Macaca fascicularis: one gene and its partners. The protein of the gene in region 5 purifies or fractionates together with the protein of the main gene of each other region. This does not show direct contact. Links are inferred from orthologs where the notes say so. Each region holds a gene or a part of one and is shown on either strand. Other genes may lie near its edges.

What was found.
Region 1: the proteins of PTEN (region 5) and OTUD3 purify together in Homo sapiens (affinity purification with western blotting; 3 studies listed by BioGRID and IntAct, with this or other methods). This does not show direct contact. The link is inferred for Macaca fascicularis from reciprocal best matches to the Homo sapiens genes PTEN and OTUD3.
Region 2: the proteins of PTEN (region 5) and CENPC purify together in Homo sapiens (affinity purification with western blotting; 3 studies listed by BioGRID, with this or other methods). This does not show direct contact. The link is inferred for Macaca fascicularis from reciprocal best matches to the Homo sapiens genes PTEN and CENPC.
Region 3: the proteins of PTEN (region 5) and PARK7 purify together in Homo sapiens (affinity purification with western blotting; 4 studies listed by BioGRID, with this or other methods). This does not show direct contact. The link is inferred for Macaca fascicularis from reciprocal best matches to the Homo sapiens genes PTEN and PARK7.
Region 4: the proteins of PTEN (region 5) and USP10 purify together in Homo sapiens (affinity purification with western blotting; 4 studies listed by BioGRID, with this or other methods). This does not show direct contact. The link is inferred for Macaca fascicularis from reciprocal best matches to the Homo sapiens genes PTEN and USP10.

Annotation. Positions count from the first base shown.
Region 1 is NC_088375.1:215,186,683-215,192,754, reverse strand, and holds part of OTUD3 (OTU domain-containing protein 3), read left to right. Parts: intron 1-2,569; coding exon 2,570-2,701; intron 2,702-3,267; coding exon 3,268-3,364; intron 3,365-5,116; coding exon 5,117-5,301; intron 5,302-6,072.
Region 2 is NC_088379.1:66,250,239-66,256,310, forward strand, and holds part of CENPC (centromere protein C), read left to right. Parts: intron 1-3,453; coding exon 3,454-3,745; intron 3,746-5,620; coding exon 5,621-5,767; intron 5,768-6,072. UniProt on the Homo sapiens protein: Component of the CENPA-NAC (nucleosome-associated) complex, a complex that plays a central role in assembly of kinetochore proteins, mitotic progression and chromosome segregation.
Region 3 is NC_088375.1:226,887,331-226,892,745, reverse strand, and holds the end of PARK7 (Parkinson disease protein 7), read left to right. Parts: intron 1-3,124; coding exon 3,125-3,285; 3' UTR 3,286-3,516; downstream 3,517-5,415. UniProt on the Homo sapiens protein: Multifunctional protein with controversial molecular function which plays an important role in cell protection against oxidative stress and cell death acting as oxidative stress sensor and redox-sensitive chaperone and protease.
Region 4 is NC_088394.1:80,575,192-80,581,990, forward strand, and holds the start of USP10 (ubiquitin carboxyl-terminal hydrolase 10), read left to right. Parts: upstream 1-2,527; 5' UTR 2,528-2,614; coding exon 2,615-2,635; intron 2,636-6,799. UniProt on the Homo sapiens protein: Hydrolase that can remove conjugated ubiquitin from target proteins such as p53/TP53, RPS2/us5, RPS3/us3, RPS10/eS10, BECN1, SNX3 and CFTR.
Region 5 is NC_088383.1:96,733,400-96,739,956, forward strand, and holds the start of PTEN (phosphatidylinositol 3,4,5-trisphosphate 3-phosphatase and dual-specificity protein phosphatase PTEN), read left to right. Parts: upstream 1-2,442; 5' UTR 2,443-3,287; coding exon 3,288-3,366; intron 3,367-6,557. Other genes in the region: KLLN (killin), read right to left, coding at 773-1,312. UniProt on the Homo sapiens protein: Dual-specificity protein phosphatase, dephosphorylating tyrosine-, serine- and threonine-phosphorylated proteins.

The DNA of each region.
Region 1 (6,072 bases), on a different chromosome or scaffold from region 5:
TAATAGAGTAATTTAAGGAAAAGCTGACATCTTTCTGATGTTGAGTCTTTTATTATTTAATTGACTTTGTGATCCATCGGAACATTTTCTTCATATAGATCTTGCCCATTTTTTGTTGAGTTTATTCTAAGGAGGTGTTTTGTGCTTTTTGTGTATTGTAAAGAGATCTTTTATATTTTCTAGTGGGTTATCATTTGTCTATGAGAGCTGTTAATTAACAAAATGTTAATTACATACTTAGGTATTCCACAGAACCCCTCTCTTTTTAAAAATTAAAGCAAAATTCCCATAACATAAAATTAATCATTTAAAAACATACAGTCCAGTGGTACTCAGTACATCCCCAGTGTTTGTTGTACCACCATGTCCTCCGTCTAGTCCCAAAATATTTTCATCACCCCAAAAAGAAAACCTTATGCCCATTAAGCAGTGACTCCCAATTCCCCCTGTCCCCTAGCAACCACCAGTTTGCCTTCCTTCTCTGCGAATTTGCCTATTCTGGACATTTTATGTAAATGGAATTATATGTGACTTTTTCTTTGTGGCTTCTTTCCTCAGTATGATGTTTTTGAGAGTCATTCATGGTGTAGCATGTATCAGTACTTCATTCTTTTTTTATGGCTGAATAATATTCCATTATATGGAGAGATGATTTTTTGTACATCTATTCATCTGTTAATGAGCGTTTAGGTTGTTCCCACCTTTTGGCTATAGTGCTGCTGTGCGTATTTGTGTACAGTATTTTTACAAATGCTTATTTTCAGTCTTTTTGTATATACCTCGGAGTGGAATTGCTGGGTCATATGGTAAACGTAAATTGAACTTTTTGAGGAACTGCCAAACTGTTTTCCACAGCAGCTGCACTGTTTTTCTTGCCAGGCTTTGTTTTCTCTTCATCCTAACATTTTAGTTTTTTTCTTAAATGGTCATCCTACTTAGTATCTTAAAGTTTTTGTTTTTTGATACGGAGTCTTGCTCTGTCGCCCAGCCTGGAGTGCAGTGGCGTGATCTCGGCTCACTGCAAGCTCTGCCTCCTGGGTTTACGCCATTCTCCTGCCTCAGCCTCCCGAGTAGCTGGTACTACAGGCACCGGCCACCACGCCCAGCTAATTTTTTGTATTTTTAGTGGAGATGGGGTTTCATCGTGTTAGCCGGGATTTCATCGTGTTAGCCAGGATGGTCTCTATCTCCTTACCTCGTGATCTGCCCACCTCGGCCTCCCAAAGTGCTGGGATTACAGGCGTGAGCCACCGCGCCTGGCCAGTATCTTAAAGTTTGGAATTGCATTTTCTTAATAGCTAATGACATTGAACGTCTTCTCATGTGCTTTTCAGCCATCTGTATATCTTTGGAGAAATGTCTATTCAAGTCTTTTACCTATTTTTTAATTGGTTCTGCCTTTTTGTTTTTGAGTTGTAAGAGTTTTTAATATATGCTAGATGCTAGAGTCTTATCAGGTATATGATTTGCTGTAATTTTTTTGGTTTGCGGTAGTTTTTTTTGTTGATTCTCTTGTTTCAGTTACAGAATTATATCATTTACAAGGACAGATTACTTTTTTCTTTTTAATTTTATACTTATAATTTATTTTAGCTAATGGCTTTGGCTGTTACCTCCAAAATATTGTTAAGTAATAACGGTGGGAGTGATGATTGTGTTTCTTCCTTTGGTGGGAATGAAGACATCATTCTGTGGATTTACAGTGGTTATTTAACCATACCCATACTATAAAGCCTTTCGGTGGTTTTGTTATTCACTAGTATAAGTAACACTGTCAGCCCTTTTACCTAAATCTTTTCTTTTCTTTTCTTTACTTTTTCGAGACAAGGTCTAGCTCTGTTGCCCAGGCTGGAATGCAGTGGCGTGATCTCGGCTCACTGCAGCCTCTACCTCCTGGGCTCAAGCCATCCTCCCACCTCAGCCTCCTGAGTAGCTGGGACTACAGGTGCATGCCACCATGCCCAAAGAATTCTTTGTGTTTTTTTGTAGAGATGGGATGTCACTTTGTTGCCCAGGCTGGTTTTGAACTCCTGAGGTGAAGTGACCCACCCCTATCAGCCCTCCAAAGTGCTGGAATTACAGGTGTGAGCCACTGCACCAGGACCATAAATCTTTTCTCTATTTGATATTATTTCCTTTGGCTAAATTTCAAAACTGAAACTACTGGGTCAAAGACTCCTGTAACTCTTTGTCAAATTCTTAGCGTTTAATTTTATAATAGAATGCTTTGTATTAACATTCCGAGGAATATACTGCATGTTGCTGGAGTCCACTATACTTTTACGTTCAAAAAATAGAGCTGTCTTTGCCCATTTACCTATCTCCCTGCATTAATGGGAAGCAGAAGAAGGTGGTTGAGCATCTACAGAGGGATGATTTTAGCTTTTCTGATGTAAGGCCCAGGCTGTAAAGGTCTCATGGATCCCAAGTGAACTGTTCTTTGTGGCTTTAGGATTTGGATTGACAAGTTTCCCTGGGTGCTTTTCGAGATTAGAGTGTCTTTTGTTGAAGATTGTGAACATAGTTTGATTCTCAACACAGTTCCCTGATTATTATTTGTTTCCTTTAGTTTCAGATGCTTCATCAAGATGAATCAAATAAAAGAGAAAAGATCAAGACAAAGGGAATGGACTCTGAAGACGACCTGAGAGACGAAGTAGAGGATGCTGTCCAGAAAGTTTGTAATGCAACTGGATGTTCAGTTAGTATTTCTGTCATGCAGGAATGATTTAGAAGCAAGTGTTGCTGTGCCTAGCTTACGTGTTGCTGTGCCTAGCTTACGTGTTGCTGTGCCTAGCTTACGTCTTAGTTTCATAGGACCTCTCCAGCATATCAGCACCTTGTGGGGCAAAATAGGCCCATGAGATTTATAGTTCGATTAGCATATGTGGCTTAATGAGAGCTGTTTATTCATTTCCCTGTTGTTTGCTAGACTTCACCCAGTACTGCTCAAAGTTCTCAGGGAGTATGCGGATTTAATTTTTCCTGACTAGTGTTTGCAGTAGTACAAATGCAGTTTTATACAGGGCGTTCATTTATAAATGTACATTAGATGGTTATTTCAAGGGACCAACCTTATTGAAAATTGACATTTTCTAAATGGAAAAGGTCCTGAAACCTTGTCTTAATTCTCACTATTACATCTTTATGTTTATGATTAATTCTCACTATTACATCTTTATGTTTATGATTATTGAAGTAGAGCTAGGCAGAAAAATATACTGAGAGTTTTGAAGTGATTTTTTTGTTTGTTTGTTTCTTGGATAGGATTTTAATTTAATAGTCCAGAATCTGGAAGCTGAAAATTATAATATTGAATCTGCAATAATTGCCATGCTTCAGATGAACCAAGGGAAGAGAAATAGTAAGTCCATGACTGATATTTATAGGCCTTCAAAATGGTTGTGTTGGTAATTTTCCAAATATTTATTTTTAACCAAGTCACAGGTGGTAACTGTTCTGTCATTCATTTAGGAGTTGTTTATTGAGCATGTTCTGTATGCAGACATTTTTTACTAGGTCCTGGCCCTGCTTCAGGGGGAGTGTAGTTCAGGCGTGGAGGGTGGATGGTGGAGACAGGTAAACTGGTGTGATAGTACATAATGGGGTGGGAGTACAGGGTGCTGGGGGACGCATCAGGGAAGAATTAACCTGTTTAGAAATAAGATGCCCTTAGAAGACCAAAATGATAACGAGAATTGTTTTCCTGGTGGAAATATTTAGATTTCTATTAACTTGTGATAATTTTGATTTTTTTTTTTTTTTTAAACATGAACCGAGTTTAATTTTGTGACTCAGAGGAAAGAAACGAGATGTAAAGGCCTGGTGTGGTGGCTCACACCTGTAATCCCAGCACTTCGGGAGGCCAAGGCGGGCGGATCACGAGGTCAGGAGTTCGAGACCAGTCTGACGAACATGGTGAAACCCCGTCTCTACTGAAAATACAAAAATTAGCTGGGTGTGGTGGTGGGTGCCTGTAATCCCAGCTACTCAGGAGACTGAGGCAGGAGAATCGCTTGAACCTGGGAGGTGGCGGTTGCAGTGAGCTGAGGTCACACCACTGCACTCCAGCCTGGGCAACAGAGTGAGACTCTGTCTCAAAAAAAAAAAAAAAAAAAAAGAGATGTAACATCTTATTACCTTCTCAAGTCATTTATTTAAAATGGTATCAATAAATACTGATTGCCAGATGTTACATGTCAGATACTGTTTCTGGCATCATAGTTCTCCATGTGATGAGGTATTTTATTATCCACTATGTATTGGCTGTACTTTTAGAAATCTGTAAGTAACTTGGTCTTTGAGACTTTAAACAGCACCCTCCAGTGATCTGTGCTGTTCAGTATAGTGTGTACCTGCCACTTGTGCAATGAGACTGGGGAGCTAACTTTTAAATGTTTAATTTTAATTTAAATGTAAATGGCCACATATAGCTAGTGGCTAATACATTGGACAGCACCACTTTAGAGCCTGTTTGTGTTCTCGGTTTTGGGTGCAAATGGAAGACTTTCCCGTAAAAATTCATGTTAAAACATAATTTATCTAAAAAGCACTCTGCTGTTGGGAAGCTGATCAAAACGCTGGTCAGTGGGTTATTTTAACATTTATCAGGCCGGGCGCGGTGGCTCAAGCCTGTAATCCCAGCACTTTGGGAGGCCGAGACGGGCGGATCACGAGGTCAGGAGATCGAGACCATCCTGGCTAATATGGTGAAACCCAGTCTCTACTAAAAATACAAAAAACTAGCCGGGCGAGGTGGTGGGCGCCTGTAGTCCCAGCTACTCGGGAGGCTGAGGCAGGAGAATGGCGTAAACCCGGGAGGCGGAGCTTGCAGTGAGCTGAGATCCGGCCACTGCACTCCAGCCTGGGCGACAAAGCGAGACTCCGTCTCAAAAAAAAAAAAAAAACAAAAAAAAAACAACACATTTATCTTCCCACTTTTACCAACTTTTTCTTCCTATGTTTCCCACTGTCTTGACATTAGAATTTGTCTCAAGGAAACTTACTTCCCCTGTGGCCAAGTAGGGACCCAGGTAATTTTGGAATCATTAATACAGTAATCACCTGTGTAACTCTCTCAGGTTCTCAGTTTTAATGAAATATCTTTCTTTGGAAGATGCAGAAGAGAATCTTGAGCCCACTGGTCGAGTGCTGAAGCAGTGTGGCCCTTTATGGGAGGAGGGTGGCAGTGGTGCCAGAATCTTTGGAAATCAGGGCTTAAATGAAGGCAGCACCGAAAACAATAAGGCACGGGCCAGCCCAAGTGAAGAAAACAAAGCAAATAAAAACCAGCTCGCAAAGGTATGTAAGATGGGGTTGAAAGGGTAGGTGGTGGGCAGGTGTAATTCTGTGGCAGTGGTGGGAGCTTGAGATAATTTTATTTGTATTTTCCTTCTAATTTATAAGAGTAGTGTGGGCTGGGCGCGGTGGCTCACGTCTGTAATCCCAGCACTTTGGGAGGCCGAGACGGGCGGATCACGAGGTCAGGAGATCGAGACCATCCTGGCTAGCACAGTGAAACCCCGTCTCTACTAAAAAATACAAAAAAATTAGCCGGGCGAGGTGGCGGGCGCCTGTAGTCCCAGCTACTCGGGAGGCTGAGGCAGGAGAATGGCGTGAACCTGGGAGGCGGAGCTTGCAGTGAGCTGAGAGCCGGCCACTGTACTCCAGCCTGGGCGACAGAGCGAGACTCCGTCTCAAAAAAAAAAAAAAAAAAAAAAAAAGAGTAGTGTGGAAAATCTGGGGAATGCATAAAGATACATCAAGAAGCAGAATGACCTCACTTACCCTGTTTGGTGTATGCAGTGACAATTGGAAGGAAATATACTCTGAAATTGTCCTCAGTGTACAAATGAAAAGCCTCCTTTTCCCACCTACCATTACTGTATGTGTGGGCTCTTCCCATGTTTATTCATGTTTTTTATAAATGCTGTGATCTACAATGAACACCTTTGTGTATAAATCTTTGGGGTTTTGCATAATTATCTTGGATAAAATCCTAGAAGAGGAATGAACAGGTTAAAGGTCATGAATACATGAATCTTTTAAAGGCTTTTGGTAAATTGTCAAGTG
Region 2 (6,072 bases), on a different chromosome or scaffold from region 5:
TACACAAATACTATTGACTGTTGGGCATTTAGATTAATAAGTGAAAGATTAGTACAACTATGGCATTGTATCTGTGAGGCCTTATTGCTATGAATTATTATTTTTTAATTTTTTTTATTATACTTTAAGTTCTAGGGTACATGTGCATAATGTGCAGGTTTGTTACATATGTATACATGTGCCATGTTGGTGCGCTGCACCCATTAACTCGTCATTTACATTAGGTATATCTCCTAATGCTATCCATCCACTCCCTGCTATGAATTATTAAATCATTGAGTTTCTTGATTGATAGCAGCAAGTATTTATTTTGTTACAGCCTTTGGATTTTGGAGTCAGATCTGAGTTCAAAGTATCACTCTTCCACTTTGAGTAGATTACTTTGTTTAGTTTCTCATTCTGTAACATGATTACCTCATTGAGTTTTTATAAGGTTTAAATGCTATTAGCATAGTAGGTTTGGCATATGTTAGTACTGAAGTGTTAAATAATACTGTTACTGCTTTGAGGAGCTCACTTTTCTGCTCCAGGATGCCTGAAATGCTAAAGAAATTACCAGTGCATCACAACTGTGTCAGATGAGCACATAAATAGATGGGTAAATAAGTTCTTACAGAACTTGGATAAATGTGCTAGATCTCTGAAACTATCAAAAAACACTTATTTAACAGTCCTGAAATAGATGTTGGATTTTTGATCAAACTGGGAGTTGAAAAAGTGGAGGAATCCTTATATATCATATAGTCTAAACTGTCATCTGATGGGAGAAGAAATTGAAGTCTGAAGTTAAGAAGAACAACTTGACTTGCCCCCAGCCTGCGTGTAGTACATGTGACACTGTTCCCTTTCATATATACGAAGAAATGTATGTATATGGAGTACTTGCCATGGGACAGGAATGAGGTAAAGTAGGACCAGGACTAGGGTAAGACAATGAGACACTAGGGTGAAAAATTTAAGGCACTCAGTCACAGGATTGTATTAGTTCGGGTTCTGTACTTGCACAGACCTAAAAATGAGCACCTTCTTGAATTTTCCAGCTGAGGCTACTCTTGTTTCACCATAGTCCTGCCTCTGTCATTAGGCATTGGGAATATACATAGATAAAATACCAGTCAATTACTTGGGGTCAAGGAATTAGTCTGCTGGAGGAGCGGGGTAGAGGTAAGTAAACAGTCGTATGTTGATAGCAAGCTACCTAAGACTTGGAAATTAGGGAAAGCTTCCTGAAGGATGAATTAGGAGTTAGCTAAGTGATTGAGTGGAGTAAGGAGGAAGTTATGGAATATTTTAAGTAGAAGTAGCTTGTGCAGAGATCTGGAGCAGAGAGCTTGATCTTTTTTAAATTTAGCATGCTTTAGAATTGTCTGGGGGCTTATTAAGATACAGGTTACTGGGCCCTGCTCTGAAAAATCTTTGATTCCCTGGGTCTGAGGTGAGTCATGATAATTTGCATTTCAAATTCCCAGATAATGCTGATCTTGCTGGTCTAGAGACTGCCTTTTGACAACCAGTGCTTTAGAGAAACTATAGGTAGTTCAGTACTGATGGCTTTTTTTGGTTTGTTTGTTTGGAGGGGGGTTTTGGGAGATGCAGTTTATGAAATAAGCAAATCTAGATGTAGATATGAATTGATGTTGAAAGTATTTGGACTTTATCCTGAAGCTATACATAATAACTAAAATAATTAAGCAGGGTTGTAATGATCCAGTTTTTGTTTTCCAAAGGTGATTCTTGCAGCAGTGTAAAGAATGGATTGAAAAATAACAAGACTAGAATGGGGGAGATTAGTAAAGAGACTGATATAATCCAGATATGAAATGATGAGGGCTTCTGCTGATGACAGGAGGGAGAGCTTGAAAGATTTGAAAGGCATTAATAAAGTAGAATTGATAGGATTTAGGGCATGATTGTGGATAGGAGTAGTAGTCTTGCATAATTCAAGTTTCTGATTTAGATATCTGGATAGAATAGGTAGTTGTATTTTTCATTAAGATAGGAAATAAAGCAAGAGAGGCAGTTTTAGAGGAGAGCGGTAGGTGGATATTATAGGTATCAGCATATAGATAGTAATTAAAGCTCTGGGTAGATAAGTCCTTCAAGTCCTTCCAGTCATCATACAGCCTAAATAGGTGAGTCTCAAAAATAAGCTAATGTTCATCTTTCATCTGATTCAATGTCCTGAAACCCTTTGGTTTAAATTTGTTAATTCTTCTCATGGCTTTTCTCCTAGAAAACCAACTAATACCACAGCTATTTATTACTGTCAGCTCTAACTTATGTCCACAATCTCACATCCCTTTTGACCACACTTATAGAAATATTACAACAAGTAAACCAAATTTATTCTTCATTATTAATTTTTAAATGTTTTCAGCACAAATCTGGTAACTTGGAGGGCTACAAGTTGATGATTCTCATATGTTTGGGGGTTTAGTCTCAACAGTTTCTTAATGGTTTCTATGTTGTTTTTCTTGATCCAACTAAATATTATTCCCAGATGGAATCAGTTTTTGACCCTCTTGTTCTACTCTCCTAGTCTTGACCCTTCTAAAAGTTTCTTGCTGTGGTTCCTTTCTTTTGTCTGCCACTAATGACTATGCCTGGTTACATAACTCCTGTAACAGGTGTTGACCAATTTGAACACATTTGAGTATGGTATAGAGCTATTCTTATGGTTCATAAAAAGCTTAGTGAGAGCATACCATCTAATGAATAGGGAAATTACGTCTCCCTTAAGGTTTTTCTCAGGACAGGCCTTATACAAGAATTTCAAGGATTGTGAGTGACATAGTTTAACATTGGACTGGGCCTTTAAAATTATCCAGCATGAATTTGAAAACACCTCTGCCACTCTGCTCAGTAGCAGAGTTTTCTGTTTACTTAGTATTTTCCCTATGCTAATTACGGAAATTTTCAACAGTTTTTTTAGGCCAACTTATTTAATACTAGACTAGACAACTTTGTTTTTTTTTTTCTTGCAAGGAAGACTGAAGGTAGGAGTAACTAGGAAGCTTAAATAAACATAATTAAATATAAAATGCTTATAATGATAGAATTGACCTCAGCCAATTAAAATTATTAATAGAAAAAACATGTCAATGTCAAGCCTACTGCCTCTGTTCCCACTTGGGTAATGAAGAAGGTATATGGAGTGAAAAGCTGAAGCTGTCACCTTGGGGAATATCCAATATTAAGGATGGCCAGAAGGGCGGTGGGCAAAGCCAGAGAGTGTTTCTTGAAGCCTGTGACAGATTTGAAGGACCTGTTTCATGTATCTGTAAACTGAAGAGCTACATTGTTTAAAGAATTTAATTTGGAAATTAGCCTATGAGATGTGTGTGTGTGTGTATGTGTATATGTTTATATGCAAATATAAATACTGTTGGTATTTCAGTGAGCCAAATCATCTGGACAAACATACTAACTTTAGGTTATCATTGAATCCTTCAGGTCCTGTTTATAGCAATTCTTCAATAAGAAATGAATTACCAGTGCATCGCAACAGTAGACAAAAATCTGCTAAGAAAACAAATCAGTCATCTAAGAATATTGGAGAAAAAACGATTCCACTTAAAAGGCAGAAGATAGCAACTAAAGGCAACCAAAGAGTACAGAAGTTTTTAAATGCTAAAGGTTCTGGAGGTACCGTTGGTCATGATGAAATTTCCAGTTGTTTGCTGAGTGAGCCATTGGAAAGTGATGAGGAAGACTTGGCTAAGAAGAAAAATCTTGATTGTTCTAGGTAATATCTGTTATGTGTATAATATAGTTACTTTTGTTGTTCAGCATTTAATAATTTGTGCTATTTAATCATTTATAGACAGGCAGTAATTAGCATGAAGAGCTCTATACTCTGACATACCCAGTATTAAATCCAGTCTCTACCATTAGCTGGGTGACACACAGGCAAAGTAGTACTCTGCACTTGTTTCCTGATATTAAAATAGGGAGTAGTACATAGCACCTGGGATTATGACTGTTAAATTTAATAAGATATTGTCGTCGAAGAGTTAAACTTTTTTTTTTTTTTAAAGAGACAGAGTCTTCCTCTGTTGCCTAGGCTGGAGTACAGTGGCATGATCACAGCCCACTGTAACCTCAAACTCCTGGGTCAGGTAATCCTCTAGCCTTAGCTTCCTTTGTAGCTAGGACTATAGGTGTAGACCACCACACCTGGCTAATTTTTTAATTTGTTATAGAAATGAGGTCTTGCTTTGTTGCCTAGGTTTGTCTCGAACTCCTGGTGTGAAGTGAATCTCCTGCCTTGGGCTCCCAAAGTAGAGATTCACAAAACAAACAAACAAAAAACACATAACATAAAATTTACTATCTTTATCTTTTTTAAGTGTATAGTTCAAATTGTTTCCTTTTAAGTGAGATTAATGTGATTTCAATAGTTAGGAATATAGCTTAATACTTTTCTTCTTAGGATGATAATAGTTAACATTTTTTTGAGCTCATACTATGTGCCAAATATTTGCTAGATGCTTTTAATGAATTCTTATTAGTTCCAAAAACCTACTGAGGTAATACATACTTTGTGTTAGAAGCAGTAAGGCGCTGAGGATATACTGAAATAAATGGCAGTGTGTCCTAAAATATATTAGTGTATGTCATTATAGTGCATAAAGAAATCCCATACACCTTCTGTTTCACTTTTTCGGGCCATTCTCTGCTTTTGTCTCTCTTTTTTTTATTATGTTGCTGGAATTTGCTAGTATTTTGTTGAGGGATTCCAATCTGTAGCTTGCTTTCCTTCTGTTGTCTTTGTTTAGTTTTAGTATCATGGTAATACTGGCTTTATACAATGAATTGGGAAGTATTATCTCTCTATTTTTTGAAACAGTTTGTAAATAATTTGTCTTAATTCTTCTTTGGATGTTTGGTAAAATTCAGCAGTGAAGCCACCTGTGCCTGAGCTTTTCTATATGGGTAGTTTGTTTTTGATTACTGATTCATGGTATTTTGAGACTATTTCCTCTTGAATCAATTTTGATAATTTGTGTGTTTCTAGGAGTTTGTCCATTTCATCTAGGTTATCTAATTTGTTGGCATACAGTTGTTCATAGTATTCTCTTGTAATCACTTTTATTTCTTTTGACTCGAATGGTAGTACCCAGGAGGATACTAGAACCTGAAGAAATATACAGTCACTAGGAATAGTGTATCTTGTTTGCATATATTTGGAATAAACTAACTACCAAAGAGATGAGCTGAGTCCCTGTGAGGACCCTATTGCCCCTCAGTAGGCTGACTAGGGATATCAAAGAAGACAGTTTTAGTTGTTTATGGATTCTCCAGTAAAACATCATAGATTAACTGTAATATATATCATAAGCCACTTATACATAGGATCTCCTCATGTGCCTTTCACCACCTTCCTGGGCAGGTGTCTTCTCCATTCCTCTCATCAGAATTTTTCAAATTAGGACTCTTGGTAGGTCCTAGAAACCAATTTCCTTCCTTAGCTAGTTGCAGATGTCAGAGCCTGAACAGGGTGATCTGATATTCATTATAGCCAATATTGTATTGTCTTTGTACCCACCCGTATATTGTTTCTGGAAGAAAATTTTATTTTGAAGAAGTATAAACACTCATACATTTATCGTTTTTATAGATCTACAAGAAGCTCAAAAAAGGAAGATAATGTTATGACTGCACAGCATGTTCCCCTAAAGCCTCAGACCAGTGGATATACATATAACACACCAACAGAATCAAGCTTGGATTCTGGAGAGCGTAAGACTTTAGTTTTAGAGGAAAGGTATGCATGTATTGTAAGGATAATAGTTACGTATATTAGTTACCCATTGCTGTATAACAGATTACCCAAAAACTTTATTTTAATTTTGTTAAAGGCTTAAAAACACTTACTGTTTCATAGTTTCTATGGGTCAGCTATCTGGGAGGCTTAACTAGCTAGTTCTGGCTCGGATATTCTCAGGAAGTAGCAGTCAAGATATCTTTCTGGTTTTAGCGCTTTAAAGTCTTGTCTGGAACTGGAGAATCCACCTATAAAATGTCTCACATCGCTGTTGGCTGGAGGCCCCAGTTCCGTTCTGGCTGTTT
Region 3 (5,415 bases), on a different chromosome or scaffold from region 5:
TTCACGCCATTCTCCTGCCTCAGCCTCCCAAGTAGCTGTGACTACAGGCGCCCGCCACCATGCCTGGCGTATTTTTTGTATTTTAAGTGGAGACGGGGTTTCAGCGTGTTAGCCAGGATGGTCTCCATATCCTGACTTTGTGATCCGCCTGCCTCGGCCTCCCAGAGTGCTGGGATTACAGGCGTGAGCCACCGCGCCCAGCCCCCCAACTTTTTTTTTTTTTTTTTGAGACGGAGTCTTGCTCTCTCACTCAGGCTGAAGTGTAGTGGCGCATCTCAGCACACTGCAACCTCTGCCTCCCAGGTTCAAGTGATTCTCCTGTCTCAGCCTCCTGAGTAGCTGTAATTACAGGCACCGGCCACCAGGCCCAGCTAATTTTTTTTTTTTTTTTGTATTTTTTAGTAGAGACGGGGTTTCACCATGTTGGTCAGGCTGGTCTCCAAATCCTGACCTCAGGTGATTCACCTGCCTTGGCCTCTCAGAGTGTTGGAATTACAGGCATGAGCCACCGTGCCCGGCTTCCCATTGCTTTTTCTCTGAAGAGACTTTAAGACTTGGAGTCTAGTTTAAAAAAATAAAGAAATAAAAATCAATGCCTTCTGCTGGTTGGAACGGGAAGTGTAAAATCTGAATTCACTATAGGGTCACAGTTCCACCCTCAAGTTTGCACAGTGCCTTCCTAGCGCTGACAGGATGTGTGTGCTGTCTTCGCCACTAGGTGGATGCAGGTGGCAACCTTAAACCTTTTGCTTTTCCCGATTAAAAGTCCGACAAGAACCGTAGAACCTTTAAGCATATTTAACCAGTTTAAACCCTATTTGCACTGTTTTAGCCACAAAGATACTGTACAGTGAACCATTTACAGTTGTGCCTTGTGTTGTCCCACTCTCAGCTGTGCATCTCACCGTCGCTCTGGAAGACCTAGTCCACCCAGTTTCTAGGTTATCATTTGAAATAGTCTTGGCCTGGTTTAACCATCAGTAAATGAGGCCAGATTATGATAAACCTTTTCCCCTCAAACTAGGGATCCTCTTTTTCTCTACAATAGTTAAATTGGAAATTTTTAATGTACTCTATTCATTTATTTTGGTGGGTGACCTGATTTTTTAAATTTTTTAGATTAGTCAAGCACAGTAGTGAGAAGAGGAGAAAGAGTAGAACAAGGAGTAACTGCCTGTGAACGATCAATTGAGATAACTCACTGCCTTCGATCAGCGGTGGCTTGGTTTCTAATGACAGTAAGACAAGTTCCTGTAGCCATTGTTAATCTCCTTGGAAAAGAAATGAACATTGTGTGGTTTCAAAAGCTCATTAATACAGCAGAAGCACTCTGCTTCTGTTGAAGGGAGGTTTTCGGATGAATTTTTATGTGTGTTCATTGAACAGACGTTTCCTAAGCTCCTCCTTAGTACCTGGCACTGGGAACAGAAGAAGAGAAAGCTGTGCCTTCGGGGTGTTCCCAGGTCTGCACTGAGTTCTAGTGGCCAGAGCCACCCGCCTGCCTGTGTGGCAGGTGCATCAGGATAAAACAGGAGTTCACAGAGGAGCTTTGTCGCTTCCCCTCCGCTAAATCTGTTCTGTGTCCCCACATCACTAAGTGGTGTCACCATCATCCAGTCACCCGGGATAGGCAGCTGGGAGTCATTCTTGAAGCCTCCTCACCTAGGCCTTCATTTCAAACCTCCATTTCCTCTGGATCACTGTCACCAGCTTAGTGCAGGCACCACCAGCTTCTACCCAGACAGCAGGTTCCTTTCCATCTCCCTTCTGGTCCCAGCCCAGTCTCTGTGCGAAGGCCGGACCGCAGAGGGCTCCATGCCCCGTGACATGGAGTTCAGCGTGACCTTCAGGTGCTGGAGAGAGTTGTCAAGGGCTTTCCATGGGGAACTGGCTGTGCCCTGCTTCACACTCTGGAGAGAGAGCTTTTGGGTGCTGGGCATGGGTTGAAGGGGTGCACAGCCAGAAGGGAGAGCTATAATCATGCAGAGATCCTTCCTCTTTAAAGCAGGGGACAGGTGGAGAAAAGAGATCAGTCGAGAATGGTGTTTGGTGCCTTTGACCTCACACTTCAGGGGCGCCTCTTGTGTGCCATGGATATCATTGGCCAGACAGGGACTGATGAAGGCCCAGCCCTTTTAAAGAGTAAACAATAAACAAGGAAATGAAATGTTTATAGATTGTGATAGATTGTGTCAATGCTGGGAGGGCAGTAAATAGGATGCGGTGATAGAGTCAACAGAGGAACGTAATTTGGGGAGGAGGGGGTGGTCACAGATACCCTCTCTGAGGGATTTTTGTTGATGCTGAAACCAAAGGGGCAAGAAACTGGGAACCCAGAGCTGGTCTATGGGTGAAGGGAGCAGCCCTTGAGCTCATCCTGGAGCAGGAGAGAACCTGTTGTATTCAGTAAGGGAAGCTCCAGGTGGGAGAGTGATAGGGATGGGTATAGCGGGAGAGGTTAGGCTCTGTGTGCAGTGGAGAGGCTGGTGACTACCTGCTGTGGAGGGGCAGAGCTCAGGGCATCCATGCTCAAGAATCCCAGTTTTGATGTTATATTTGCCAAGAAATAGCCAACTGGTTGGCACAGGGGTTGCGGGGATGCAGAAGGAAAGTAGTCCTTGAGAGTGAATGTGCTTTCTACCTGCACGCGCACACACACATGCATACCCGCCTCCAGTATGTTGTGCTGTGGTTGTTTTTGAGGCATCAGAGGGTGTGCGTGCCGCCACATGTTGATCAGGGTGGCTTCTGCCTTCAGCATTGCCGCATCCCCTCATCCTTTCCCTGGCACTTCAGAATTGACACTGGAGCTTTGTTGTAAAATAGTGATGTGAGTAACTGTCATTCACTGACATCTCCCCCGACACTTAAAGTCTTAGCAGCTGCATTTAACTTACACATATTTGTTTCATTCTAACAGTGGTTTCTCTCACCCTTTGCTCTGCAGTTTTAAAAATACTCTTGTAGGGGGCTTCTAAGAGCTTGGAGCGCCAAGTAAATGTTTTTGAATGGCTAGCCTGCAGGTTGGGTTTACATGCTGTCATAGTGAATTGAATTGGTAAGTAATCGTCTTTCTCATCACATAGCCCATTAGAATGTCACCTTTTCTGTTTCTACTTTGCAGGTCATTACACCTACTCTGAGAATCGTGTGGAAAAGGACGGCCTGATTCTTACAAGCCGGGGGCCTGGGACCAGCTTCGAGTTTGCACTTGCAATTGTTGAAGCCCTGAACGGCAAGGAGGTGGCGGCTCAAGTGAAGGCTCCACTTGTTCTTAAAGACTAGAGCAGCGAACTGTGATGATCACTTAGAGAAACAGGCCATTAGGAATCCATTCTCACTATGTTCGCTCTAAACAAAACAATGGTAGGTTAATGTGTTCAGAAGCGGCTGTCACTACTGCTTTTGCGGAAGTATAGTTGTGAACTCACAACGACACAGAGATTTCTCAGCCTACAAATTGTGTCTATACATTTCTAAGCCTTGTTTGCAGAATAAACAGGGCATTTAGCAAACTACTGATCATTCCTTGTTTTGTCCCTCATTTCTTTTGTGAAATTAAATTCCGTATCACCTTCATTTGTAGCTCTTAACTGTCCCTATAGCACTGAAATAGAAGAACAGTGAACACATTTTACACAGCAAGGAGGAAAGGCATACAAGGAGAATTTTAAGAGGCTTATTATTTTCTCTGCTTATTAGCTGTGTGTTTTTAATGTGCTATTAAAAAATACTTATGAGGGCTGGGTGTGGTGGCTCATGTCTGTAATCCCAGCACTTTGGGAAGCCGAGCCAGGAGGATTGCTTGAGGCCAGGAGTTCAAGACCAGCCTGGGCAACATAGCAAGTCTCCATCTCTACAAAAAAAATACAAAAATTAGCCAGGCATGGTTGAATACACCTGTAGTCCCAGCTACTTAAGAACCTGAGGTGAGAGGATCACTTGAACCCAGGAGATCAAGGCTGCAATGAGCTATGATCACACCACTGAACTCCAGCCTGGGTGACACAGCAAGACCCTGTCTCCAAAAAAACAAAAAGAGAAAAGAAAAAAAAAATTGGTTGTACTGGTGAATTTTTATACACTAGTTCCTTTTTCCATTATGGAAAGAGTCCTTGGATAAAAACTTTTCAAGGTTAGCCCAACATCTCTTTTCCCTTCCCCAGGTAATAGCACCCAGCATTCCTTGTGAACCACTCAGTTCCTCCTGGGTGGGCACATGACCTAGACCCAGCCAGTCAGAGCCCTGTTTTCCACCGGCCATGTGACCCAGGGGAGCTCAGTCAGTCCACAAGACTCCATCTGAGGGTCTCACAGCCGCTGTACTCTGTCTGCTGGAGTGGCCAAGGGGATATGCTGGTAACCCAGAGCACTGGCAGCCGTCTCGTCACTGGCAGCCGTCTCGTCACTGGCTGCCGTCTCGTCACTGGCTGCTTGGGAGGGCCCTCAGGCTGTGGGTGGCTGACCCTGGTCCAGAATGCTGGGCAGATGTTAACTTTTACAATGCAAACACACGTGTAATTGTCTATTTTAGTAAGCGCTTTAACAGATGATAATGCGAAGGGAGAGAAGAGTTACATGGTGGGGAGGGAGGCTTCTGAGGAAGTGACATTTCAGGTGTGGAGCAGGAGCAGAGCTTAGGTTTTCATTCCTTCCCCAGCTGTGTGCTCAGTACCTACTGTGTGCCAACTGCTGTTCCCGGTATTGGGAATATGTCAGGGAGAAACACAGCCTTTGTCCTTGGGGAGCTTATATTGTGGGCACCGGGGAGAGATGAAAGCAAATACTCAAATACCCACATTCTATGAAGAAAATGAAAGAGGGTAAGGAGGCAGTGACAGGGGAATTGCATGATGGGAAGCAAAGGCCTCTCCAAAAAGACATCTCAGTGAGAATCTGAGGACTTTTGGGTGTGAAAGAGACAAGTAGGTATCTGTTCAGAGCGTACCAGGCAGGAGGAGCAGGGAGGGGCGGGTTATTGGAGGTACACAGTAGGAAGTGAAGTTGGAGAGGTAGCCAGGGCCACGGCGAGGTGTCAAGACAGAGACAACCCCCAGAGAGAGACCTGACCCACCTAGTTCAAAGACCGGCCCTGCTGAGAAGAGACCCTTCTGGAGGAGGCGTGCAGGCAGGCGGGATGCTGAGGCCAGTCAGGTGGCAGCGTTGGGCACCCACTTGGTGTGAGAGGGTGTCCGGGACAACCCCCACTTTTTTTTTTTTTTTTTTTTGAGACAGAGGCTTGCTCTGTTGCCCAGACTGGAGTGCAGTGATGCGATGTTCTTGGCTCACTGCAACCTCCACCTCCCAAGTTCAAGGGATTTTCTTGCCTCAGCCTCCTGAGTAGCTGGGATTACAGATGTGCACCACCATGCCTAGCTAATTTTTGTGTTTTTGGTAGCAATGGGGTTTTGCCGT
Region 4 (6,799 bases), on a different chromosome or scaffold from region 5:
CCCAAAGTGCTGGGACTATAGGCATGAGCCACCGCGCCCGGCCTGGGATCTTTTGTTTATTATCACTTTTATTTGTTATTCAAGCAACTGTATGATAAAAATCAGACAAACAACTATATATATAGATATATATAAGATATATATATATTTTTATTTATATATATATATTTTTCTTAGAATTTCACTCTTGCCCAGGCTGGAGTGCAATGATGGTATCATCTCGGCTCCCTGCAACCTCTGCCTCCCGGGTTCAAGTGATTCTTCTGCCTCAGCCTCCTGAGTAGCTGGGATTACAAGCACCTGCCACAACGCCTGACTAATTTTTGTAATTTTAGTAGAGACGGGGTTTCACCGTGTTGATGAGGCTGGTCTTGAACTCCTGACCTCAGGCGATCCACCCATCTCAGCCTCCCAAAGTGCTGAGATTACAGGTGTGAGCCACCACCCCCAGCCAGAGAGACAACCATAAATCACCCGTGAGTTTTCACGTCCCCCAGTTTCTATCCATGTGCAGATATCGCTTTTCCATGGTTAAAATCATAGCATAGACACTATATTGTATTGTTTTCCTCAACTTTTTGTTATAAAAATTTTCAAACATAGAGAAAAGCTGAAATATATAGCACTACTTAGAGCCTACAATTGTAAACATTTTGCCATATTTGCTGTCTCTCCCTGAATGTTTATGTGTGTATATGATTTTATCTTTTGTTGAACCATTAAACAATAGTTCACAGGCATTATGGCCTTCACTCCTAAATTATTCAGAATGCATCACCTCACAATAAGGACATTCTCTCAAGGAGTGCAGTATCAATATTACACTATAAAATTACCAATAATTCACAAAGATCACCTATATCCAATCCATATTAAAATGTCTTCAATTGTCAACAAATAAACAGTAAAATCAGCTTAAAAGACGTATCAGGGCCGGGCGCGGTGGCTCAAGCCTGTAATCCCAGCACTTTGGGAGGCCGAGACGGGCGGATCACTAGGTCAGGAGATCGAGACCATCCTGGCTAACACGGTGAAACCCCGTCTCTACTAAAAAATACAAAAAACTAGCCGGGCGAGGTGGCGGGCGCCTGTAGTCCCAGCTACTCAGGAGGCTGAGACAGGAGAATGGCGTGAACCCGGGAGGCGGAGCTTGCAGTGAGCTGAGATCCGGCCACTGCACTCCAGCCTGGGCGACAGAGCGAGACTCCGTCTCAAAAAAAAAAAAAAAAAAAGACATATCAGGATCGAAGCAAGATTGATTGGAACAATCACTACATTGGATCACTACAACCCGCCAATTTCTGTATTTTTAGTACAGATGGGGTTTCATCATATTGGCCAGACTGGTCTCCAACTCTTCACTGTGATCCGCCCGCCTCGGCCTCCCAATGTGTGGGATTCCAGGCGTGAGCCACCGCGCCTGGCCCACTTATATGTTTCATGGCATCCCACTTATGAAGAGATCAGGCTCCCTATTTTATGTAACGTGGGAATGGATCTTCCTGTTAATCTCCTCTGCTTAGCGTAAGGTCTAGCAAGAGCAGACTCTCTGTAGGTGTTTGTTGAACAAATGAAAGCAATGATAGTGGTTATTAGTAACAATCCCAGTAGCCAATTTTTATTGACTGTTCTCTTGGCCAGTGTGCTCACATTAATCTAATTTGAACTTCACAGAAATCTTACGCTTGACGACATATTTGTATTATTCACAGGTGAGGAGACCAGCGCTTAGTGAAGTGAAGTCGCTTGTCTGAAATCACAGCTAGAAAAGGGGCCAAAACCCGAGGGTGGGCCCACTGGCTGGAAAACGGTGCAGTCAGGCAGGGGCGCCTGCTTCTCAATAATGAATGGACCAACGACCCCCAAGGCTGGTTTGCCGTGCACACGCACGCACGTGTGCAACACGTAGCACTTGCTGAGTGCTTGCTACTTGCCAGGCCTCATGTCAAGCACTTTGCGCGTGCTTTTATGCCCTACGTTTTGTTTCTGTTTTCCTTTTTTCCCCTAATGCCTAGCAAAAGGCGTGGCCCAGGCGCCCAGGCAGGACTTGGGGAGTGAATGAAGAGTGAACGAATGAATGAACGGGCGGCAATGGGATCTTCATAAACCTGACCCTCCTCGGAGATCTAATGCGAACACTGCCGAGGCCCGGGCCCAGGGACGCCGAGGGCGGCTCGTGGGCCCCCGGCCGACCAAAGGCCGCGGCTCCCGAGCTCCGGGGGCCCAGGTGCCAGTAGGTGAGGAGCCGGGGCCCGCCGGCGCCTCGGCGTTGCCACCTCCACCTGCCTGCTGCCTCCCCTTCCGGCTTCGCAGGCAGGACCCGGCGGGCTCTTAGAATGCAGCCGCCGGGCATCTTCCGCCCGAGGGTCGCGAGGCTCAGAGTCCGGCCGGTTCCAGGCGGGGCAGGGAAGGTCCGCGGCCCGGCAGACGCACGCCCACCTGTCGGCCGCGCAGGCGCAGCAGCACGCCGGCCTCCCCGCGCCCCGCGGCGCGCGGCCAGTGCGCAGGCGCGGCGGCCGATGCGAGTGTGTATGTGCGGGCGAGAAGATGGCGGCGGCGGGGGAAGCAGCGTGAGCAGCCGGAGGAACGCCGAGTCCCATTGAAACGGGCAGCCATGGCCCTCCACAGCCCGCAGGTAGCCGCCGGTCCGCGCCTTCGGCCGGAAGGGGCCCCAGCCCGGGGCGGGCGGACGCCGCAGCGGGCGGGCGCCCGCGCCCTGCCCGGAGCGAGCGTGTGGGAGTGGGGGAGGGCGCCGGGACACGCTGCCCGGGCCTAGGCCGGAGCCACCCGCCGCCTCCGCGCCCGTCGCGCCTTCGTCCCCCTGAGCCACCCAGGCCCCCTAGTCCCGGAGAGGCAGAGGGACGGGGGCTCCGGTCCCCGCCTGGGGAGGGCGTGGGGGGCGCCGAAGGGGTTAACCTCCCTGGGGCTGGACCGCGGGGCGAGCCCGGGGTGTGGAGTGGGGCCCTCCCCGCCGCGCCGGCCCAGGGAGGCGGCCCGGGGGCTCCGGGAGTCCCCTGGAGCGGCAGGAGCCCCAGAGCAGCTCAGGTTGCTGCCTCTACCCAGAGCGAGCCTCAAAGATTTAGGGGTGCCCTGTTGCCCCTTTGCCCCCAAAGCTTCCTTTTTCAGCTTGATTGATGACGCGGGGGCTGCTGATATTCTGGTTTTTAGATAGAAGTCGCTGAGTAGCGGCGTTAGGCTACTGTTGCAAAGAAAACTCGAAATAAGTCGCAAGGACCGTACTTTCACTTGCATTTGAGTGACATCCCTTGCACGAATCCATCCCAGCCAGGCTGACACTAACGCACCCTGCCTGAACACTATCTAAAGCTTAGGGGCCCTTTACAATAATCCCGTAGTGGAAAGAAAGAGCTCTTTTTGGGAGATGTGCGTGTAGAGTTAAGCTCTTATTCACCTCTCCCACCCCTTCTCCCACCCCATGTCTCCCCTCCGCCATTGTAATTTTTCTGGACAAAAATCGGCGTGATGTTATTATTTGTCAGTCTTGCTTTAGACTGCTAATTTGTTGACATCTGGTCCCTATAAATTGTTGCACACTTTTTAACCATCTCATTGTGTATTTGTATTAAATATGGGGAAATGAAACAAAGTAGCCATTCGGAAAACTGGTGGCGGGTAAAATCATAACCCTTCATAAGCAGTTGGGTTTTGTTGCCGTTCTGCAGATGAAGTCAATCTGACTAGACCTCTTTTGAAACATGATTTTCGTAACTATTGTAATGAATGCGTGTTGTGGAATCTAAAATGCGAAAACTTTTTTAAAAATTAGATGTTACGACAAGCTTCAATTGTGTTAAATTAGCTGTAGTGTAGTTTGCATCAGAACTTCCCCCTTTAACGTTTTGTTCCTTTGTACATTTTTGTAAGTAGTATAGGTCTTTGCACGAAAGAAGGCATCAGCAGTTGAATAGTTTTTACAAATGTATAACACAAAGATTTTAAGAGATTTGGTGTATTTAGCTTTGTTTAGACCTTTCTATTTTAAACAAAAAAAGATTTGATATTTGCTTTTCCTCAACTTAAATACTAATTAGCCTATTTAAATTGGTATGAACAAGTATAAGTCTCATTATGAATTAATGTGTAATATTCCTTGTGATTTTGACATGAAGAAAGCATCTTTAGGCATAACTCACTTCCTTTATTTAATAAGCATCAATCACAATTAAAGGTTGATTGAAATGTTAATTAATGGGGATGGATAATATGTAAACTTAATTGTAAATTCGTTGTCCCAGTATTTACATTTTATACAACAGTCTAAATCGTCGTTATATACATCTTTAGAAAATTGGAGTAGCAAAAGTTGGCGAACAGAAATGTTAGCAACACTTTGGGTTTATTCTTTTAAAGTGTGATTTAAATGCTTTTAAGTTCTAGCATGGAGAAAGTAGCAAAGGAAATAGTTTGATTTCTCATAATTTTCTTTTCTTTTTTTTTTTTGAGATGGAATTTTGCTCTTGTTGCCTAGGCTGGAGTGCAGTGGCGCCATCTTGGCCCACTGCAACCTCTGCCTCCGAGGTTCAAGCGATTCTTCTGCCTCAGCCTACCAAGTAGCTGGGGTTACAGGCGCCCGCCACCACGCCCGGCTAATTTTTTGTATTTTTATTAGAGACGCGTTTCACCATGTTGATCAGGCTGGTCTCAAACTCCTGACCTCAGGTGATCCACCCGCCTCGGCCTCCCGAAGTGCTGGGATTATAGGTGTGAGCCACTGCCCCTGGCCGATTTCTAATAATTTTCAATAAAAAAAATAGTAATGGAAACAAGTAATGGAATCATGTATGACAGGATTTAGTTACTGGTTCCTGCTCGAGTCATTCTGAGCGTTTTAATAAATTTGTTTTATTTGTTTGCCTACTGTTCTAAGAGTCTTGCAGCCTTAATGGCCATTCTTTCATTCAGCAAATACTGATTGTTTATCAGGTGTTAAGCGCCATGATATGCATATTACTTGTTTCTGTTGGGAATAACAACTGCAAATTAAAGGTCTTATTTTAAATTTGACTTGTCCGGGGCGGGGCGCGGTGGCTCACACCTGTAATTCCAGCACTTTGGGAGGCTGAGGCGGGTGAATCACCTGAGTCTGAGCTGGAGACCAGCCTGCCCAACATGGAGAAATCCCGTCTCTACTAAAAATACAAAATTAGCGGGGCATGGTGGCATGTGCCTATAATCCCAGCTACTCGGAGGCTGAGGGAGGAGAATCGCTTGAACCCGGAAGGTGGAGGTTGCAGTGAGCTGAGATCGCGCCATTGCACTGCAGCTTGGGCAACAAGAGCAAAACTCTGTCTCAAAAAAAAAAAATTGACTTGTTAAAGTTAAATTTGTCACTGAGAATAATGGTACGTGGAAAAAGTTACAATTTAAAAATGTTTACAGGTCAGCGCCGTGGCTCGTGCGTGTAATCCCAGCACTTTGGGAGGCCCAGGCGGGTGGATCACTTGAGGTCGGGAGTTTGAGACCAGTCTGACCAACATGATGAAACCCCGTCTCTATGAAAAATACAAAAATTAGCCGAGTGTGGTGAAGCTCGCCTATAGTCCCAGCTACTTGGGAGGCTGGGGCAGGAGAATCACTTGAACCCAGGTGGCGGAGGTTGCAGTGAGCCGAGATCATGCCGCTGCACTCCAACCTGGGTGACAGAGCAAGACTCTGTCTCAAAAAAAAAAAAAAAAGCATGAAACTCCAACTCAAAATAAATAATAAATTAAAAAGTTTTTAGGTTCATAACCCTATTTCCAATTATTAGAAGGTGTTGGTTGATCCCTGTTACCTGTATTGAAGTGTAATAGTGAAGAATTTGGAAACATTTTGAGACCAGTGACTGTCAACATTTTAGCAAATACAGATGAACTTCAGCAGTTGAAGTGTAAGTCCAAGTGAACTCTTTGTCACCAAGGGCACCAATTAAATGATTTGCGGTAATTAATTTGAAGCTGTTAGTTTTGCCTTACACCTGAAAAAATATTTGTGATTATTGATGTCATTTATAGTGAAATCTCCACGATAATGCTTCCTACACCCAATTCGAATGTCATGCAGTTGGGTTCTGTCCTTGTCTGCATAGACTCACCCCAGTCTCTTTTTTTTCTTTTTACCTTGTGATAACAGGGCCCCCAAATTTTACATGATGGAAACTCTTGGTTTCCACCTCTAGCGTATGGCTGAATGTTACTGTATTGCTGAATATCTGTTTCTAGCTGACAGCTGGATTAGTGTTAGTTCTTGAAAGAGAGAGATTTTTATTAGAGTCTCACGTAATGAGCAGCTGAAGTAAATACAATTATTTGAAATGTTGACAGGGCATTTGGAGATAACAGTTTTCCTTTTCTTAGTGACAGCAAGCTATTTAAACATGTCCTAAGAGTAGATGTTTTAAGTTTGTGAGCCAGTGGTCGCCTGAATGGTTTGTACAGATGATCTGAGCAGCCGCCCTGTACCAGGACCTCACCTTCATGCTCTTGAGCCCATCTCGTTGAGAGGGCAGTGCACTGAAATTCCGGTGAATACTAAGCGGGCCTACCACATTCTAAATTCCTCACTAAAGCAAAAGTTAGGACATGTATTCTAGTGTTCTGTTACGTGGAACTGATAGGATTTAAGCAGTGATTCACATAGGAAAACTTAAAGGAGAAAAGGATTACTAAGCTTAATGATTGCTGTTTAATGCCAAGCCTAAGCGGCACATTCATTGCGCTGTGCTCAGAATATAACATTCAAGTAATTGAGAAAAGTGGTATCATCTCCAGTTGAATTAGTTACATCAGGGTTTTTGTTT
Region 5 (6,557 bases):
TTAGTAGTCCCGGAGTTAGGTAATGGCCTGTGGCTTTCTGCGCTAGGTCTCTTGGGGTTTCCAGTCTTCACAGGTTGCCTGCAACTATGATGTGCACATATACAGTCCTCTTTCTCAAATACGGCATAAATCCTCTTTAGACTTTCCTAGGCACTTACAATTATTGAACACACATGCAGATTGATTCTCATTCTCTCAAAGTTTGAAAAACAACTCAGTGCTTCAACCTAGGTCTCGTTAGATATTTTTTCACTCAAATTGTGGTCTGGAGTTCTACTTCCTAAGGGAAATGAAAAAACAATAAATTCCCAGACTGGTGTTGATGCTCATTCTCTTTAAGCGGGTCGACTATTTGCTTTGTAGATCCTTGACGGGTGCGGTGCGGGGTAGAAGGAGCGCGATCCAACTCTGCATTTCTGAATTAGCTCTCTCACGGCGACAGGTCTGCCCAGTCGGGGTTGTAAGCGGACTTGACAGGTTTGTTCTGGGCTGACGGCCATTGACGAGGTTCTCAGACCAGATAAGTCACTTGGCTGAGTCTACAGTAGGTGGGGCGCGCTCACCAGCTCAGGGGTAGTGACTGGACGTTTGTTGCAACATCAGAGAATGCAAGCTCTGGGCTGCAGCAGGAGATAACCCGCAAGCACAGAACTAAAAGGGTTCACCCTAAGGGGCAGGGCATCAGCGAGGGAGAGGCCCGAGACCCCTAGCGCCCAGATCCTTTTCCCACGTTTGGGAAGGCGCAGTATAGGTCGATCTAGAGCTAGGAGTCTCAGGTCTCCGTCCTTGGCTTGCTCTTAGGGTAGCAGGCGAGGAATAGGACCAGCTTGGGGACTCTCTCCCCGCGTTCTGTAAGAATCGGCGGCAGCCAGCAGGCGGGGAGGCGGGGGCACGTGTTTGGATGTGGGTGCTTGTGTAACCAGCTCCCCAAGCGCCAGCCCCGACAGCGCTCCTTCGGGAGGCTGGTCCGAGTCCCTGTTTCCGCCGCGGCGCGGGAAGGGCTGGGGTTCTGCAGCCTGCACCAGGCGAGAACACCCCGAGCAAAAGAAGAGTACTTGCCTCCGGAGCTATCACTGGGGAGTGGGAATTTGGAAAGTTCCCCAACTAGGAACACACGTGACCTCCTTCGGAAAGTAGTTCCGACTGTGGCCCGTGTATCCTTCCACCCCCTTTTGAACCCTCCTAGGTCTCCTTGCCCCGCCCACTCGCTGGGCTGCAGCTTCCTACCGTTCCGTACTTTCCACTCAACCTGGTAACCCCGAACGTGCATGGTCTGGCCGGGGCGCGTGGAGCCTGGCCCCGGGCGATCCATCCCGCCGGGTTTTCACGGAGGCCAAGGGGGGGCGGGGCTAGGTGGTCTCTAAGAACCGAGCTTGAGTCCGACGCGGCGAACTGACTTGGAGCCCGAGGGGGAGAGATGCTCTAGTCTCCTAGGGGCACCGGAGCGGGCGCAGGAGAGGGCTGCGGGGTGCGTCCTACTCACGGGGATCCTCTTTCAGTTCATTTAGATAGGTGCCCTTTGGGCTCTGGAAATTCAACGGCGATGTGTTCACGTTCAGCACGCTCGGCTGAGAGCTTTCATTTTTAGGGCAAACAAGCCGAGTTACCGGGGAAGCGAGAGGTGGGGCGCTACAAGGGAGCCGGATGAGGTGATGCACGCTGGAAACACAATAGCAGGTTGCTCTTTGTGCTAAGACTGACATCCTGAGGACACAGGGTTGGGGAAAGGAGGAATCTCTAGGCAAAGGCTGCTACAGTCAAATCTCTGCGAACGACTGTGATCGACAGCGATGCAAAAGAGCGAATGCAGTCCACGCCGCGGAAATCCAGGGGCAGAGGCAGGGGGGAGGGTATTACCCTTGCAAGGACCGTCCCTGCATTTCCCTGTATACTGACCAGCGTGGTCACCTGGTCCTTTCCACCTGTGCACAGGTAACCTGAGACTCGAGTCAGTGACACTGCTCAACGCACCCATCTCAGCTTTCATCATCAGTCCTCCACCCCCGCCCCGCAACAGCCTACCCTGCCTCCGGCTGGGTTTCTGGGCAGAGGCCGAGGCTTAGCTCGTTATCCTCGCCTCGCGCTGCTGCAAAAGCAGCCGCGGCAAGTGCAGTTGCAGGCTGGCGGCTCGGAACCGGCCCGAGCGAGCTCTAGGCAGCCACACTGGGCATGCTCAGTAGAGCCTACGGCTTGGGGGCTTTGCGCTCGCACCCGGAGCTACCGCTTCTGTCCCCGCCTACCGCCCCCTGCCCTGCCCTCCCCTCGCCCGGCACGGTCCAGTCCGCCTCTCGTTCAGCTCCCGCCTCCCCTCGGTCTCCCGAGGAGCCCGGGCTCCCGGCGCGGCGGCGGAGGGGGCGGGCAGGCCGGCGGGCGGTGATGTGGCGGGACTCTTTATGCACTGCGGCAGGATACGCGCTCGGGCGCCGGGACGCGGCTGCGCTCAGTTCTCTCCTCTCGGAAGCTGCAGCCATGATGGAAGTTTGAGAGTTGAGCCGCTGTGAGGCGAGGCCGGGCTCAGGCGAGGGAGATGAGAGACGGCGGCGGCCGCGGCCCGGAGCCCCTCTCAGCGCCTGTGAGCAGCCGCGGGGGCAGCGCCCTCGGGGAGCCGGCCGGCCTGCGGCGGCGGCAGCGGCGGCGTTTCTCGCCTCCTCTTCGTCTTTTCTAACCGTGCAGCCGCTTCCTCGGCTTCTCTTGAAGGGGAAGGTGGAAGCCGTGGGCTCGGGCGGGAGCCGGCTGAGGCGCGGCGGCGGCGGCGGCACCTCCCGCTCCTGGAGCGGGGGGGAGAAGCGGCGGCCGCGGCGGCCGCGGCGGCTGCAGCTCCAGGGAGGGGGTCTGAGTCGCCTGTCACCATTTCCAGGGCTGGGAACGCCGGAGAGTTGGTCTCTCCCCTTCTACTGCCTCCAACACGGCGGCGGCGGCGGCGGCACATCCAGGGACCCGGGCCGGTTTTAAACCTCCCCTCCGCCGCCGCCGCACCCCCCGTGGCCCGGGCTCCGGAGGCCGCCGGAGGAGGCAGCCGTTCCGAGGATTATTCGTCTTCTCCCCATTCCGCTGCCGCTGCTGCCAGGCCTCTGGCTGCTGAGGAGAAGCAGGCCCAGTCGCTGCAACCATCCAGCAGCCGCCGCAGCAGCCATTACCCGGCTGCGGTCCAGAGCCAAGCGGCGGCAGAGCGAGGGGCATCAGCTACCGCCAAGTCCAGAGCCATTTCCATCCTGCAGAAGAAGCCCCGCCACCAGCAGCTTCTGCCATCTCTCTCCTCCTTTTTCTTCAGCCACAGGCTCCCAGACATGACAGCCATCATCAAAGAGATCGTTAGCAGAAACAAAAGGAGATATCAAGAGGATGGATTCGACTTAGACTTGACCTGTATCCATTTCTGCGGCTGCTCCTCTTTGCCTTTCTGTCACTCTCTTAGAACGTGGGAGTAGACGGATGCGAAAATGTCCCTAGTTTGGGCGACTATAACATTTAACCCTGGTCGGGTTGCTAGGTCATATATTTTGTGTTTCTTTTCTTGTATTCAACCTAGGGTGTGTTCGGCTAGACAGAACTCTTGCCTGGTTGCAAGTGTCGAGGCACCGATTGCTTGCTTAGGCTGTCTATACGGTCTCTTCCTGAGGGCTATTGTCCGTTAATACAGAATACAGTATGCTGTTAGTGGATTAGAGAGCTCGGTAATCCGGTCTCCTAAATGAACAAAAAAGTAGACGCTTTGAGGTTGAGCATATTTCGATTAAATCTTGGCTTAGGCCCTAGATCAAGGGTTTAGATCAGAATAAAATGAAAATTAGTGTTGCACGTATGCATATTGCATCAGAATCTTGCAGTGATTGTTTTAGTTTCCTGGGTTGCATTGATAGATTCTTTTAAAATATGACTGATTTGCATAACTTTAGAAGCAGAATAATTTTCAGTATATATGGTGCACATTGAGTGCAAAAAGTAGTTTTGTTAATGTTTTACACTTAAGTTACAACTTTGGACTGTATTTAGAAGTTTTGTAGTTTGAAATCAATAATGCCATAATATACCTTATAAGGCGTTCTTACTAGATCTTTGTTATATTTACCTTTTTCTCTCCCTATGGGATGATGTAGGATAGGGCTTGAAATTTGCACTTCAGTAGCGTTTAATGTTCAGTGCTCTTGTCATAAACATGGAATGGATATTGAGTAGTTTTTGATCCCAGATGACAATGTGTAGGTTCAAGGGTATTGTGTGTGGCAAGTGAAGATTGCAAAGATAAAACTTCAGTTCATGCTTGAAATTTAAGTATTGTGATGCCAGAATTGCTGCTCACCGTTTTTAGATTTCAGGTTCTCTGACATCTTTTGGTACTGTTAATTTCACTGATTTGTGTAGAATGTCAAGTGAATTTTACCAGCTAATATCCAGAAATGCTGGCAAGAGAAGTTTACTCCAGCTTTAGATTGTAGGTATGTTAGCTTTTTTCATACAGTGTATTAAATTTACTGAGTCAGCTTGTTGAATAAGACAGAAGCCCAAGAATTTTAACAGTGTATAGCTTTAGTTGTCTAAAAGTTAGGCCTTCGGGCTTCAAAAGTTAGTGGTCATCGAAAAGCATGAATCTTTGCAGTTTCAGGTACAACAGACTGGTTTTGATTAGGGATGGGGATGGGGCCCTCATTTTGCAGAATGGAAAGTATTGACAGGAATTGAGAGCTATTGGTAGGCCAGTGTATAAGGTATGTGAAAACAGAAGTTATTGGTCTGAAGTGACTGAAGCATTTAGGCTCTATCAAGGCCTAAAATTTGGTAATATGAGTTTGGTAATGCGAATTGTGGCAGTGGACAATATTTAGTTAAAATTATGTAATTGCATAAGTACTAGCAAAGTATTTTTAATAAAAATTATTTCTTAGCAAGTATCAGTTGCATTTTGTCTAAAGGTAGCGTGACACTGCAGTGTCTATATGTCCTGCTAAAAATTGTGGGGAAGATTTTTTTTTAAGACAACGTTTATATCGGGAGAGGTTTTATTCCCTTGGATTATGTTAGCTGCATATACATGTGCACAGTTAATTTTGCCCAAGTTTTTGTTTTGAAATGAATATAAAACTTACTGAAGAAGTAGCCTCCCAAAATTTAGTTTTCTGTTAAGTCAGTAATATTATTTTAAAACAGTATTTGCAAATTTTGAAGTTGGCATTAATTGAAAATGTTACTAAGGCTAAACTGGAAGATAAAAATGTTACTAAGGCTAAACCCGCTTGCCCAGAAGATAATTATGGAAAAAATTCTTTTGTGACTTCCAAAGCAGTCTACTATTAGCATTTGGACTACTATTAGCAGTCATCCAAATATATAGGAACAAAAAATTAAATGTTTATGTAACTTTGAAAAAAAAGCCTCTGAAGAAAATAATTAAATGCTGTCTGGGAGACAGATTTCTTTCAGCACTTAAAGTACATACACACTACTTTTACTTTTCCCACTTTATTTAAAATTGTCAGGGTTATTAAGACCTTAAAATTATTCTACCAGGTTTTTACATGTGAGCTGTGATGTGACTGGCATTTCCTTTGATTTCAGAGTATGTGGGTCTCTACACATGAAATTTATGTGACTTAAAACTTTCTCTAAAATTGTACTTTTAGTTATGCATAGAAAGCAGTATCAAATATTGTGTCAAATGACTAATAACACTTGATTTCTAGAGTTGTGGTTTTATTGAGCCAAAAGTTGGTATGAAAAAAAAGTCAGTGAGGAAAGTCAATGAAGTGCTTGCTTTTTTGATAATTGCACTCCCAATAATTTTGATATTCCAACGTACTTGGTTTGCTTGTTTTTCTGTTTATGGGGGTGGGAAGGCATTAAAATGGTCATTGAGGACTTTGTCTTTGGCATGCTGTAGTATTTATTTCGGCAGCTAACCTGTGAAAAGTTAAATTCCTTTATGAAAGTAGTGATTGGAGTATTTTTATCTGGTAAAGAAAGATTAATAATGAAGCCATTTCTCCGAGGAAAACTGAGGACAATAATTCAGTTTTAAAATATCGCAAAATTAAATTATTCTAAATATTTGTTAGTAGGGTTATATATTAATATTAGTCTGAAATATAGTGCTGAATTTGAGACTATAGAAAAATAGTGTATTTGGGGTATGTGGAAACTTTAGGCTTCTGTTGTATTTTTATTGTTTGGTAGATTTGCCTCTTTTCAAATAAATCTTCACAGGGAATACTTTTAACTACTAGAGAGTACAGTGACTATTGAAGTTACCTAAATTACCTCAAGGTAAGTGATTACTGAAATTAATCATGAGGGTTTTAAAAAATATTCTATTCACAATATTTATTTTACATTGTTTTGTATCTGCTAAGTTATATTTCCTGAAAAACGTGACTGTACCACCTAATTGCTATATGATAACTTACAAACTTCATTTTTCATAGTGCTTATTCAAGAGTAAAGCACAACTGAAAGGAGTAATGTACAGTTTATGTGAGGAAAAAGGAATTTTATTGCTGCCAGTGTAAAAGTTTGCACAGCAGTATAGTCATCAATGCAGATTTACATTGCTTATAATATACTAA